Linked DNA regions of Arabidopsis thaliana. The protein of the gene in region 1 interacts with the protein of each later gene in a pairwise test. Each region holds a gene or a part of one and is shown on either strand. Other genes may lie near its edges. The genes, in order: RGLG4, GLB3 and UBC18.

Region 1 (5,277 bases):
ATGTTCATAACCTATACAACAAAGATGAGTCCAAGACAAAACACGGCGCCGTAGTGAACGTGAGAGATATTGTGTGCACTCACACACACAATGTGAAGATGAGACTCTTGTTTGGTCGGAGACATTTCAAGGAGACGACGATGGACGGGAGTCTCGGACTTATGGAGAAAGAACATTTTGACGCAATTTTCGCGGCTCTTGATTGTTTCTTTAGCTTTTACGTAGCCGATTACTACCCTTTCTTAAGAGGATGGAACCTCCAGGGAGAGGAGGCTGAGTTAAGAGAAGCCGTTGATGTGATTGCTAGGTACAATAAGATGATTATCGATGAGAAGATAGAGTTGTGGAGGGGGCAGAATAAAGACTACAATCGTGCGGAGACGAAGAATGATGTTCCTATGATCAAGGATTGGCTCGACATTCTCTTCACTCTTAAAGATGAGAATGGGAAGCCGTTGCTTACCCCGCAAGAAATCACACATCTCTCTGTGGTTCGTGATAGAAATATACTCATATAATTACTACCAATTAGTTTGTATATTATATATCTGATAAGTTATGGTTTCTTTTTGGTTTTGGCAGGATCTTGATGTAGTAGGGATTGATAATGCAGTGAATGTAATAGAGTGGACACTTGCGGAAATGTTGAACCAGAGAGAGATTCTAGAAAAAGCGGTGGAAGAGATCGATATGGTTGTCGGAAAAGAAAGACTTGTTCAAGAATCCGACGTACCAAATCTAAACTACGTCAAAGCTTGTTGCAGAGAGACCCTGAGACTTCACCCTACCAATCCTTTCCTTGTCCCTCACATGGCACGTCATGACACAACTCTCGCTGGCTATTTCATCCCAAAAGGTATCTCATTTTTCCCCAAAATTTATGCATTTAGGCGTATTTGACTCCAACTCCTTAAATGTAGAATCAGGAATTCTAACTATATTTATTTTTGCTTGATTTGAGCAATATTTTCATATTAGAATATTTGTTCCTTTGATTTATTATTTTGGACTGAAAAGTGAAAATAAGTAGATTGTGACATACGAATCTTTCAAATTATTATTTTATTTGTTTATTAACTTTAATATATTGATTGTTTGATGTGGATCACAGGCAGTCATATTCTAGTGAGTCGTCCGGGTGTTGGTCGAAACCCTAAGACATGGGATGAGCCACTCATCTACAGGCCTGAGCGCCATATAACCGGCAACGAAGTGGTGTTGACTGAACCAGACTTACGACTTGTTTCATTTGGAACTGGTAGACGCGGCTGCGTTGGAGCTAAGCTTGGAACGTCCATGATTGTTACGTTGTTGGGTAGGCTTCTCCAAGGGTTCGACTGGACCATTCCTCCTGGTACGACGGACAGAGTCGAGCTAGTCGAGTCAAAAGAAAATCTGTTCATGGCTAATCCTTTGATGGCTTGTGTGAAGCCCAGATTAGATCCAAACATGTACCCGAAACTCTGGACCGGTCCAGCTTGATCATACCGGTTAACGGCACCACATTTCAATTGCTATTGTCATGTATGAGTAAAATTTGAATAAAGTTTTTGTCTTGAGGAAAAGTTGAAGAGGAATATAGCCCATAACGTTCATAAAAGGCCCAGCCCAGTATTGTTCTGCCGTTTTAATTTGAGCAAAGTAAGCTTCAAGTAAAGAAACGGGTTGAGTGCAAAAATGGAGAAATTAACTTGCAAGTTGAGATTAGCACATAAGAAGAGTATCTAATTCCATCTTGTTCACAAAGTCATTCTTTTAGCATTAATGATCCTATATTTATATCAAATCTCATAAGATCTTCAGTGTATAATATATAGTTTAATTTTTTTCTAGGTTTTCGTTCGAACTCATGTGGGTTCAGTAAATAAATGTTTAAGTCCCCATCTGGCCGCGTCAAAAATACTTAGATAACAACAATTAGTGGTTGACATAGAAAAGTAATGATTGTTGCCGCGTAGAATGAAATTAATAAAATTATAAAGAACAGTGAAGCAATAAATGTTTCCTTGGCGTCTTGAAGAGTAGTCTTCTTAAATATTCCAGCCCAAAAAAAAAAAGATTCTATCCATTATCAAGAGAAGAAAAAAAATCTGAATTCCAATTCGAAGAAGAAGAAGAAGAAGAAAGGAGATGACTATGGGGAATTTCTTAAAGAGATTTGGAAGTGGAAAAAGCAGAAGCAGTAGAAATATGACTCTGGGAACGACGTCGTCTCAATCTCATGAACCATCACCGTCGGATCCTTCACTCTCCCTTGCCGATAATACCAACGCCACCAAGAAGAAGTACGCTCTCATCCCTGACCGCTTCTCTTCCCTCGACCAGGTTCTCTTCTTTTTTGTATCTCTCAATTTCTTGTGTTGACTTGACTTTTGGTTCACCATGTCTTCTGCTACTTCCATGTTCTTTGAGTTCTTCAAAAGTCTAATAGATGTATATGATTATTTTTTTTCTCCTCCATTCATTCGTTGACATTGGGACATAAAATGATTTTGAGTAAAAAAATTGTCTGGAAACTAATTAGAGATGGAGAGTTGTTACTGAGTGTTAACTAGTGAATGGTGTTTAAAAGGTATCAAAAGCTCTAAGAGAAGCTGGTCTTGAATCATCCAATCTCATTCTCGGAGTTGATTTCACAAAGAGCAACGAGTGGACTGGTACCTTCAGCAAATACAACTTATTGTTAAATTCACATATATATTTTTGCAACTGTAAACAAAAAAGTGGTTAACGTTCTGTTTCAGGGAAAACTTCTTTCGATGGAAAATGTCTGCACGCGCTCGGCGAAACTTCGAATCCATATGAAAAGGCGATTTTTGTAATCGGCCAAACGTTGGCTCCTTTTGATGAAGACAATCTCATCCCTTGTTTCGGCTTTGGCGATTGTAAGTTTTTCTTTCCCAAAAATATCATCTTCAGTTCACTCTCTGTTTCTAAGACTCTGTTTTCTTGCACTATCCAGCAACAACTCATGACGAGGAAGTGTTCGGTTTCCATAGCGACAATTCTCCATGTCATGGCTTCGAAGAGGTCTTAGCATGTTACAAGAGAATTGCACCCAACTTGCGTCTATCAGGTCTTTCTTTGAAAATCTAAATACTACCTTCCATAGCTTTATCACCAAATCACAACCTTCCGTGTTCAAAAGGGCCAACGTCGTATGGACCGCTCATCGATGCTGCTGTCGACATTGTGGAGAAGAACAACGGACAATTCCATGTTCTGGTGATTGTTGCAGATGGACAGGTAAAGTTACAAGCAGTTAAGAGAAACAAAGTATGATACCAAAACTTAAAAGGCTACCTTTTGAATGTTAAGGTAACGAGAGGTACGGATATGGCCGAGGGAGAACTCAGTCAACAAGAGAAAACAACCATCGACGCGATTGTAAATGCAAGGTAAAAAAATGCAGATTCAGTTTTTCATTTTTCGCAACTCGATTTGCGGTATCTAAACAAGCCTTTTTCGAAATTCCTTTATTATCTACAGCTCGTATGCTTTGTCGATTGTTTTAGTCGGTGTTGGAGACGGACCATGGGAAGACATGAGGAAGTTCGATGATAAGATCCCTAAGCGTGAATTCGACAACTTTCAGGTATCTTCCCAGTTTCTGTGCTATTTTCCATCTATATTCTCTGCTTTGAGCATCTTCTTGATCTCTGGTCTATGCATAGTTTGTGAATTTCACAGAGATTATGACGAGAAACTCACCAGAGTCTGCCAAAGAAACTGCTTTTGCTCTAGCTGCTCTAATGGAGATTCCCTTTCAGTATCAAGCAGCCATCGAACTCCGCTTACTCGGGTACTTCCATAAGTTCTCAGCATAACAGAACTACCGTCTTTCTGCTCTATTTTTTTTTTTTTTGTCTAATTGCTTCTGCTGGTCCCTGTCCACTTCTGCACCCGTCTATAAAGGAAGCAGACGGGCTTAGCGAAGACAATAGTTCCGAGGCCACCACCAATTCCGTACACACCTCCAACTAATGCTGAACTACCATCAACTGCATCACCTGCATCACCTGAACAAACCCAGGTCTCATAATTTGTATACTTTACTATTTTTCTGCCTTGTCGAATCAACTCCAATCTCATATGGTTTTCCGTTTAACAGAGTTGCCCGATTTGTCTGACTAACCGAAAAGACGTGGCTTTCAGCTGTGGCCACATGGTAAGTTTCACCGATTGCTTTTAGTTTACTCAAACCCATTCATTAATCAACAACCAGTTTTAACTTACCTTTGCAATTTTCCTTTTGCAGACTTGTGGAGATTGCGGATCCAAAATATCAAATTGCCCGATCTGTCGAGTAAGGATCACGAACCGGCTAAAGCTTTACACATGATCAATGGCCACGAACTTTTTTTCTGACCACGGCTTTACACGTGATCAATGCCAACAAACTTTATCTCTGCACATAACAAATCGCTTGCACATAGCCATCTCCTTTGTAGAATCTACAATTTGGTTTGCCAAGTGTTTCTGACAATGTTCCACAATCAGCGTGTACCATGTAATTCTGTATGTACTGTAAAACATTAACTTTGCAAACAAGAATGAAGAAGCAATGTACAAATTACAAAACATAAGTTTTACATTTTATTCATCATAACAAAAGGTTTGAAGTGATTGACATTGTAGCCGTTTGCATAGCACAAAAGTTGTGTCGCTAGATGCCGGTTTCAAAAACAAAAGATATTACGGCCAGGAAACACGCCATTTTTGTATCGACAAAAGATTCGAGTGAGAGGCATTCACTAACATTGACTCTTAAAATAATTCATCCTTACTGAGTTTTGGTTGTCACCGTGTCATCTGGCTTTGGCATTGGTTGGATTCTTTGATAAGGCTTCCTGGTAAGAGTCTCTCCCCTAAGAGCAGCAACGTATCTGTCGTTTGTATCCTGCTTCTGTTTCAACTCACCAAGATATTCAGCTAGCCTCTCTTGGTTTACTTTACCCATCATCTAACAATACAAAAACAGAAATGTATTGTTCATCATAACACAAAAAGATTGAAGATTAACAATAAGCCTAAGGTTAACATACGGCTGTGATCAATAAACTTCCAATTGAATCGACATTGTGAAGCAGAGCAAGAACTCAGATACATGAAATTCCTTGTTAACACAGAACAATGGATTGGTGTATTAGCAACAAGAAAATGCAAATGCTCAATTCAACATATCGAGGCCTAAACACCTCTAACCTCTAGGTACCCAATCCCATAGGAGCTTTGCAAAGTAGCAGAAAGAATCATCATCAAGCAAAGTTCTACTCA
Region 2 (4,351 bases), on another chromosome or scaffold:
GAGAAACTTGAAGTTGTTGCAGCAAGCACGAATTTTCACACAGAGAAAGAGGAGAAAGAGATGAAGAAGAACACAAACATTCGTCCGAAGTTCGTGGAGACAAATTAAGCAAAGAGAAAAAGAAAGAGAGAAACTGACCTGATCAATCCGCGATTTAGAAGAATCTGAGTCCATGAGCGGCGGAAATAGAGTAACCGCCGGAGATCTGAAGAAAAACCCTAGTCGGCGATTGCAACGCCGGGGAAGTGAGGAGCGCCCAAATGCAGGCAGATGTAGAAAGAAACAGAAAGAATCTGTAGCGTTTGAATTTTTGATTTCCCTTCTATACACAGAGCTCTCTCTATCTGTGACCGCGTATTATTGTATTCTTTTTTTTTTTTCTTTAAAATTTCAATTTTCTCGTTTTGACGCTCAGATTTTCAATTTGAACCGTAAAGGTGCTTTTGCTTTTGGGTTGCCGTTGGGCATTTTAACGCTTTTATTAGAAGAGTACAGTACTTGTTTTCTAATCAGGTGAAGTGTTGTAAATAATGTTTAGAATTGTTCATATTCTTAAAAGTTATACTTGTAATGTTACATATTTTGTGTCAGACCATCTAATGAAAAAGTGCTATTGCAAATTTGCAGTGAGAGCCAAGAGTAGACCAGTTCTATTTCTCTTACATAGCTTTCCAGGAAAGACCAATATTCCGTAGAATCTTTTGTGTACTTTGAATGGAAACTTAAAGTAGAACAAGAATCTGTAGTTAAATTATTCTTCTGCTGGTTTATTGGCTGCGTGTTTACAAGCACATTGAGGCTTATGCTTCGGTTTCTCATTCTGATTCTTCAGCTCGTTTCCAGCCACAAGGAAAAATGCGGTGTGTCTGAAACAGATCAAAAGTAGCCAATCAAATCTGTTTGCTAATATCTACAGAATTCTAAGGTTTTAAGCTGAATAAAACACCCGATCAAACTTTCATCGAACTATGTGACTTTTGACTCTGAGAAGAAGATGGTGTTACCTAAAGAACTTCATCATTTTGATTTTTGAGTCCTGGTCAATGTCAACCGAATCGTCCAGAGCATTTTGCATGTGCTCTAGCCATCTCTCAGCAGCTTGATGGGTCACTGGAAATGGACGGTGACGTCCGATCAAAGCAGGATGACCTACACATTGGTAAGATAAACAAACAGCCACAAGTTAAGCAAAGAGATTTTGGAGATGCCAAGTCATATTTAGTCAAAACCAACTCAAAATTGGTGTGATATCAAATATGTACATTAATGTCATTTGTAATACAATCATACAGATACAAGTGTGTGTACTAAGTGAGCATCGAAGGGGTAAAAACAAATGAGTTAGTTGATGTGCAATTTTTTAGTCAAGCATGAAAAACCTAGAGAACCAATCACAGACAACAACTTATGAACACATATATAACTAAGGGATCGCAGCAAACAGCATATGAATGTTAAAACACATAACTAAGGGAAAAGAATCTAAATTTAAGATAAAAAGGCAAACCTTTTCTCTGAGAATACAAAGGAGGGCCTCCCATACGCTGGACAAAGAACTCATACTGGTTTTGGATGGCATCTTCTTTGTTAGAGTTAGAAAATATTGATTGAAACCATTCTTCTTCGTCATCATATACCCTAATACCCATTTCAAAAACAAGAAATTCATTAAGAACACAATGTCCATAAGTAGAAGCATTACCCAAAATCTTAAAACTTGTCTAGGTAAGAAGGACTTAAGAGACTTGTCAAATCAGAAACTAGTATATCTTATAACACTTTCATATCTGCAATTCCAAGCCATTATCATAGGAAAAGTTATCTCAATTCCTCATTTGAACAAGCAGAGAGACTGGAATTGATTCTTCATCAATATTAAAGGTTCACACTTTCAACCAAAATCTCCTAGTCTACACCAGATTTTAATCGAAAAATGGAGCTTAGCAAGTGAGAGCTATAATATAACCCAGACTCCAGAGCGAACACAATACCTGGTATAGAAATTGGTGGATAGGTTGATGAATGTCTGAAGACCAAGCTTGTCGAACAGATTGGACTCGTCGATGGCGAACGCCTCAGCCTGATCGACGCCGCTTAACACCGATGCCTTATCTTGCAGCGATTGCATCTCCCTCTCTCTCTCTCTCTCTCTGGTTTTCGTCTCTCTCGCAGTGATGAAGAAACTGTGGGTGATTGAATTGAATTTTAAAAAGGAATGGTGGGGGCTCTGGTCGTGGTCGCGTGGAGGCAACGCTCTCTTTTTTCTATTACACTAGTTGGGCCTTTTTGGCATATGCCGTGACCAAAACTAAAGACACTTGTCTTGATGATTCTCTTTGACTTTTGGTCCTATCCAATCAATTTAGGATTTTGAAGTAATTGGGCACACTTGAATTGGCCCGTTAAGAAGCCCATTATTCTAAACGCGACAAACTCTTTAGTGACGACGATTTGCGTTTGAAGAAATAAGTGATTTAAAATCCGCGTTTAAAAAGGACTAAGCTGAGCTGACCCCGTCGAGAATTGGTTTCCTCTTTTCCTCGCTCCGAAGACAAGAAATATTCCGGTGAGGCAATGGCGTCGAACAGCAGAGAAGCCAGGAGGCGGAAGATCCTAGATAGAGGATCTGATCGTTTAGCCTTTATCACTGGTCAGATCAACGGCGTTCCTTCTCCACCTCCTTCCGATTCTACTTCTTCCCTTTCCCAGTCTGACCTTCAAACTGACCAATCCTTACCGGATACGATTCCCCCTCGCGATCAGATTCTTAAAGCTCAAGAAATCGGTACTCTTTCGCTCTCTCTTTCTCTAGGGAATATTGTCATCCTTGGATTGTTTGTGTGTGTAAGAATTTGAGCGACACAATCGAATTTTACTTACTCTATTGGGTGAAAGGATAATCAAATTGGCTTCTTTGATCAGATTTTATGTGTGTTTGGCTCGTTTCAGAGTGGAATTCATGTGTGTTAAGAACCCGGCTTGAACCATTGGATGTTTGAAATAGGGCAAATTTGTAGAGAAGAATAGGACAACGCATTATCTACATTTTTATCTTTTAGTTTATTTTGTCCTCTGAGTATAGTAGTTAATGGGCAGTGAAGCTGTTAAATCCAGATTTCAACTTGGAACCTACTTGTCTTAAGCTGAAATTAGATATTATGAACCTGATTTCACTGTTCTCTACTTTTGCTTAAGTCACCTCGCCCCTTGAAATTTTCTTTGCCATTCTGTGAAATTCTTTATAGGTGTGGTTCAACCACAGTCAAGTGTTTGGAAAGCTTATTATGTTGTGTGTTTTTGAAATTTGCTTGCCTTGTATTGTGTCACAAAGTTTGGAAGGAAAAGATTGCTACGCTGCTTGATTGGAGCCAATAAATCTTAAGGCGTTGTATATATTCACAATCAGTGGGTTCTTAGTGGTGGTGGAAAAACCCATTGATTGTGAATGTTCTTTTTGGCGTTTCTTGAAGCTAACCTTTGCTGATTTTGATGATCCTTGGTTGTGAAATTGCAGCTTTCACAAGTCACCAGGACAACATCTCTGATGCTGCAATGCTTGAGAATGTGGATCATATCATCCATCAAAGCAGGGAAGAACCTCTTCAGCCTCAGAGGCATGCTGAAACATTGGCAGAAGCCTCTGCTTCAGATCCTAGAGACACAACAACAATACAACCGCCTCCTACAACATCAAGTGTTCAAAACCCATCAGTGGTAGATTTAGGTGCTTCTCAAGCATTTATTCCTGTGGTTAGTTTTGTGAACGCCATCACACCAAAGCACATTGGAGCGGCCATTGATGCTTCGGAATACGCACGGATGTTCACAGCTCTTGCGATTGCACTTGTTGTCATACTATCTCATCTCGGTTTCTCTTCCCTAGGCAACATTGTAAGCTTCAGGCCAGTTTTCTTGCTTGTCTTGACTGATGCCACAATTGTGCTTGGACGTGTTCTGCTGAGTCATCGTGGAGACTCTTCCTCGGCCTCAGGGACGGTGATGAGCGGGCAGGGTATTGTGGACCAAGTAGGCAACGCTTTGGAGACGGTGATGATGGTGAAGAAGATAATGGATGCACTTCTTATGGATTTTAGCTTATACGCTGTGATTCTCATATGTGGCCTCTTGGTCACCCAAAGCATCTTTCCTTAGGTCACCTTTTAAATTAGGTTTCTTTGTGCTCGGTAGATTTGTGTTTTGCTTATGGTTTGAATATCTTAAAATTATAGTTAGTTCCAAAACATAATTACATGTTTCAGATATCTTTCTCTTTCCTTTTCTTTTGCGTGAGAAGATCAATATTTATTGGTGTTTGGTAGTTTGGAAGAATAAATTTAAAGGTTCTCCTCCA
Region 3 (4,521 bases), on another chromosome or scaffold:
TGATTCGAAATTTTGAAAACGGACATATATTAATTGATAAACGAAAAATATATGGATTTAAGCTAAAATGTTTAAATCTGATGACAAGAAAAAGAAAAAAAAAAGCTAACATGTTTAGGGGATGATTCAAAATCATATCATAAATAAGATCAACATTAATAAAATAATTTTTGAGTGGGACGTGTTTGACGGTATCTTACTTAATAACAATTGTAAACTATAAAATATAAATATTTTATAAATAAAAACAATTTGCAAACTTTTATATATACTAACTTTAGGAAAAAAAATTGTCTCACTCATGATGTACCTTTATTATAAAAACATAAAATTAATTAAGTAATGATATTTTCGATTTTTTTCTAGCGCAATAAGAATAGAATTACCGTAAAAAAATAAAAATAAGATTAGGATTAAATTAGCTAGGACAACTTTTTCAAAAAGAAAATTAACATGCCGAAATCATGAACGTCGTAAATCATCAAACAGCTAGGATTCGTTGTATCATACACTTAAAATGATTAGAGAGTTGATCTATTACTCTAGAGTTTACTTGCAATGATCTCAAACATAAAAATATTAAAACGTTTATTTGATTCCCTATGCAATGAAAAGTGAAGATCTTTATGATTAGCACGGAATTTTCCAAGCTTAACTTTTGACTTTTGTCTCCCTAATCATTCATTAATAACCACTTCATGTCTTTATAAAAAGCACCCCGTACGAAGTTCTTCACTCAAAGCTCCTCATACCATAGTATATTTTGAGCTTTCTAATCACATAGTAATAATTTTGAAAATGGCGATCCTAACTCCCGTCATTAAACTCGTTGTTTTTAGGCAAAGTCTACGACCACATTCTGCTATTGCATTCCTCGTTGAGTTTCTTTGCTTCGTCTTAGAATTACTCGACAAGGAGAAAGATCTAGCCAAAATATTCGGTATCGTATGTGCTTGCGACACATTAATCTTCACTTTGCTCGATCTTATCCAAAGTTTGATCGAGGAAGAAGTGAAAATACAAAGATGCGGCCGAGTGTTTTGGCTTTACACAAACGATGGGAGCCTCTATTGGCACACATTAAACGCATATCTTTTGATGTTATGCATTGTCCACGTCATCGGTTCCACGATCTCTTACGTTTCTCATAAACATTATCTAGTCTTGCTCCCGCTTTTCGCAGCCGGACTCGAACTCGTCCCACAAGAAGCCTATCGAGTTCTTGGACCGGATCAAGAGTCTGGAAATTCTATTGAGCCTCTTAATGGTCCATTAAATGGTATTGAGCTTGAACAAGGAATGGTTGTTCATGTTGAGCCTCTTCAAGAGCCACTAGATGGTATTGAGCTAGAGCAAGAACTCGTCCCACAAGAAACCAATCGGGTTCTTGGACCGGACCAAGAGTCACAAAACTGTATCGGGGCTCTTAATGACCCATCAGATGGAAAAGACCAAAACCTTCAAGATGATATTGTGCTAGATCAAGAGTCACAAGATTGTATTATTGCACCTCATCAATGTCCATTAGATGGTATTGACCTACAACAAGAAACGGTAGTTCACGTTGAGCCTCTTCAAGACCCACTAGATGGTATTGAGCTAGAGCAAGAAGTGGCTATTCATGTTGGGCCAAATGATGACCCATAAACTATTAGAAGCCTACTATAGAATGAAAGCTGAAACATTATATAGATGGAGACGTATGTTTAATGTAATGTACTTTGTCTTAAAAACTTATGTACTTATGATCGTACGACTTTGGTAGCTACAATGTAAGAGAATCTTTGTTACAAAAAAAAATCTATAAATAAAATCGACTCTTCAATGTCCCGTGGAGTCAGTGAAGGATAAACGACACGTGTGAACACGAAGGAAGATTAATAGCCGTCCGATGAAAATGGTTAATTTTGTAATTTTGACTCTTTCACGTGTGCCCTTTCCTCACCCCGAAAAATATTTTTATTTCCTTTTGTTTACACTTTTTGATTTCATTTTCAATAATAATAATATTCGAGTAGAAGAAGAAAGATCCAGACAAAAGCTTAAGCAAGACCTCTCTGTCTTCGTCTCTCTCTCTCTCTCTCTTTGTCTCCGCCATGACAAGCTCTTCATCTCCTTCACGCAAGGTTCTTAGATTCTCTCACTCTTGTCTTCTTATGTGTTTTTTGATTCTCCGATTGTGATTTTTTGAATTTTTGAGATTTGTGTAGGCGTTAAGCAAGATCGCGTGTAATAGGTTACAAAAGGAGTTATCAGAGTGGCAAGTAAATCCACCGACTGGGTTTAAGCACAGAGTTACTGATAATCTTCAAAAGTAATTTTCATTTCAAAATCTTTCCTTTTTTTGATTATTTATCATTTCGATTTTTGATTGTTTTTTTTGTTTTTGTGTGATTTAAAGATGGGTAATTGAGGTAACAGGAGCACCTGGTACGCTTTACGCTAATGAAACTTATAATCTTCAGGTTGAGTTTCCTCAACATTATCCTATGGAAGCTCCTCAGGCAAGTTTTTCATTGTGTTGGTTTTGTTCTGAAAAATTTGTTGTTTTTGATTAAGGGTTTATTTCAAATTTCTTAATTGTGGATTAATTAACTGAAACCAGAGTGTTTTTATGGTTGTATTGCATGTTTTAGGTCAGAGAATTAGTTTGAGATATAGTGACATTTTCTCTACTTGGTTTTGTGCTGTGTTCTGATTTTCATGTGTTTGGTTTTTGATCAGGTGATTTTTGTTCCACCAGCACCGTTACATCCTCATATTTACAGCAATGGACATATTTGTTTAGGTAATTTTACTCATTGTTTCTACACTACTTACTCTTTGCATTTGCTCTTACTTTTTGGTTTCTCTGAAATGCTAGCTCAAGTCATGTGTGTGTCAATCAAATTAGTTTATCTGTTTGATACTTACATATATAGGTTGTTCTTGTTCACGGAATGTAATGTAGCGAAAAGAGAAGCAATGTTAGTAACAATACCCTTAAGAGTCCTAATATATTATATCAACATTGTTACCAGTCTTAACCTTTTTCTCAGTCTGTCTCATTCTTAAAGAGTTCCTAATACTAGCGTCGCATGACATGAAATTAGGTGTGAATGTGTTATCAACGCCATAAAGAAAACCAATACCGTCCCTTTTGGACTCTATGGTGAATTCTTTAGCAAAATCAGAATCTGATCCATGATTATAACAGCCTCTCAATTTCTAGTTATATTGAAACTCCCTTTGGAATGTTGATCAAATAACTTGAAACTCCCATTTGAGTTAAAATCAAATAACACATTTTAGTTTTGCTGTTTTCACTAAACAATAAGAACATGAAAGTTTTATGTAAATTTCTTAAATCTGTTCTCAATGCATCTAAATCCGGTCTAATGAAATCGTGGTGGAACTGAACCATTTGTTACAATACATAATCACGATTATACCCGGCCTCATTTTAGGAGAAAGTCCATTAGGATTATGCGCTTAATATAACACACTCTCTAATTCCTTTTTGTAGATATTCTGTATGACTCATGGTCTCCAGCAATGACAGTGAGTTCAGTCTGCATCAGCATCCTCTCAATGCTATCAAGTTCCCCCGAAAAGGTTTCTACATTTGATCTCTCACACTTTGTATTGTTGTCACAAATTCAAACTTTTTGACCCTGCCACACAACTCTTACTATGTCTTATTGTCGATGACAATATCAGCAACGCCCGACTGATAACGATCGATATGTGAAGAACTGCAAGAACGGGAGGTCTCCTAAAGAGACAAGGTGGTGGTTCCATGACGACAAGGTTTAATGATGACGACCGTAAGATGTCTCTCCTTTCAGTTACAAAAGAGGTTTATATAATTTCCCAAGACTGATAATACTAATTGAAATTCCTCATGGCCTCCCACTTTTTTTTCTGTAACGGATCATTATGTATAAATGACATCTGAAATGTTTCAGTGTCTGAATTAACACCTTGTGCTTTTGTCCTTTCTGAAGTGAAAAACCATGGAGAGTTTAGGCAAAACGAAATTGTATTTGGCAATGTAATTGGATTGATAACTAGTTGGTGTAATGTAATTGAAAATTGAAAAACTAACATAACAATAGAATCCCCAAAGAGTAAACATAACCATGAACGAACAATTAGCATAGCTGCGAGTAATCAAGTTTGCAACAACATTTATTCACCACCACACATAAGAGCACATTTAAGGTGAAAAGACTCGGGCGAACAAAGGATTTATTAAAACACCAAACATATTTTAGCAAAATAGGTAAGAGAGAAAAGCAAATCAAGCAGCAGCAACAACTGTCTTGTGCTTCTCGAGATTGGCAATGATTTCTTCTTTAGCAGCACCAACCACAGTCTCCTTGATCTCTCCTTCTTTCATGAAGATAAACGTTGGCATTGCCTGAACTTTAAACTCCTCAGCAACAGTCTGCACAACAACATAACAAGCAAGATAAAGGCTCAGAGAAGTCAAAAATCCCTAAGTTTGGATATTGGGATAGTGTAAGATTGATGAAGGAA

Evidence for each region.
Region 2: the proteins of RGLG4 (region 1) and GLB3 interact in a two-hybrid assay, tested with the Arabidopsis thaliana proteins (one study listed by BioGRID).
Region 3: the proteins of RGLG4 (region 1) and UBC18 interact in a two-hybrid assay, tested with the Arabidopsis thaliana proteins (one study listed by BioGRID).

What each region holds. Positions count from the first base shown.
Region 1 is NC_003070.9:29,858,682-29,863,958, forward strand, and holds RGLG4 (Ca(2)-dependent phospholipid-binding protein (Copine) family), read left to right. Parts: upstream 1-1,809; 5' UTR 1,810-2,130; coding exon 2,131-2,325; intron 2,326-2,572; coding exon 2,573-2,657; intron 2,658-2,744; coding exon 2,745-2,885; intron 2,886-2,962; coding exon 2,963-3,076; intron 3,077-3,148; coding exon 3,149-3,246; intron 3,247-3,318; coding exon 3,319-3,398; intron 3,399-3,489; coding exon 3,490-3,595; intron 3,596-3,674; coding exon 3,675-3,802; intron 3,803-3,915; coding exon 3,916-4,033; intron 4,034-4,111; coding exon 4,112-4,168; intron 4,169-4,258; coding exon 4,259-4,342; 3' UTR 4,343-4,635; downstream 4,636-5,277. Other genes in the region: CYP79C1 (cytochrome P450, family 79, subfamily C, polypeptide 1), read left to right, coding at 1-491, 583-856, 1,112-1,482; AT1G79390 (centrosomal protein), read right to left, coding at 4,784-4,963. UniProt on the Arabidopsis thaliana protein: Possesses E3 ubiquitin-protein ligase in vitro.
Region 2 is NC_003075.7:15,763,263-15,767,613, reverse strand, and holds GLB3 (hemoglobin 3), read right to left. Parts: upstream 2,503-4,351; 5' UTR 2,129-2,502; coding exon 1,992-2,128; intron 1,639-1,991; coding exon 1,508-1,638; intron 1,150-1,507; coding exon 1,005-1,149; intron 867-1,004; coding exon 752-866; 3' UTR 508-751; downstream 1-507. Other genes in the region: AT4G32700 (MUS308 and mammalian DNA polymerase-like protein), read right to left, coding at 139-174; AT4G32680 (uncharacterized protein), read left to right, coding at 2,575-2,785, 3,515-4,152. UniProt on the Arabidopsis thaliana protein: Hemoglobin-like protein that exhibits an unusual concentration-independent binding of O(2) and CO. May promote shoot organogenesis from root explants in vitro. Inhibits RGLG3 and RGLG4 ubiquitination activity.
Region 3 is NC_003076.8:17,243,480-17,248,000, reverse strand, and holds UBC18 (ubiquitin-conjugating enzyme 18), read left to right. Parts: upstream 1-2,012; 5' UTR 2,013-2,096; coding exon 2,097-2,126; intron 2,127-2,210; coding exon 2,211-2,314; intron 2,315-2,401; coding exon 2,402-2,504; intron 2,505-2,724; coding exon 2,725-2,788; intron 2,789-3,505; coding exon 3,506-3,594; intron 3,595-3,699; coding exon 3,700-3,795; 3' UTR 3,796-4,014; downstream 4,015-4,521. Other genes in the region: AT5G43000 (uncharacterized protein), read left to right, coding at 799-1,647; TRX3 (thioredoxin 3), read right to left, coding at 4,283-4,429. UniProt on the Arabidopsis thaliana protein: Accepts the ubiquitin from the E1 complex and catalyzes its covalent attachment to other proteins.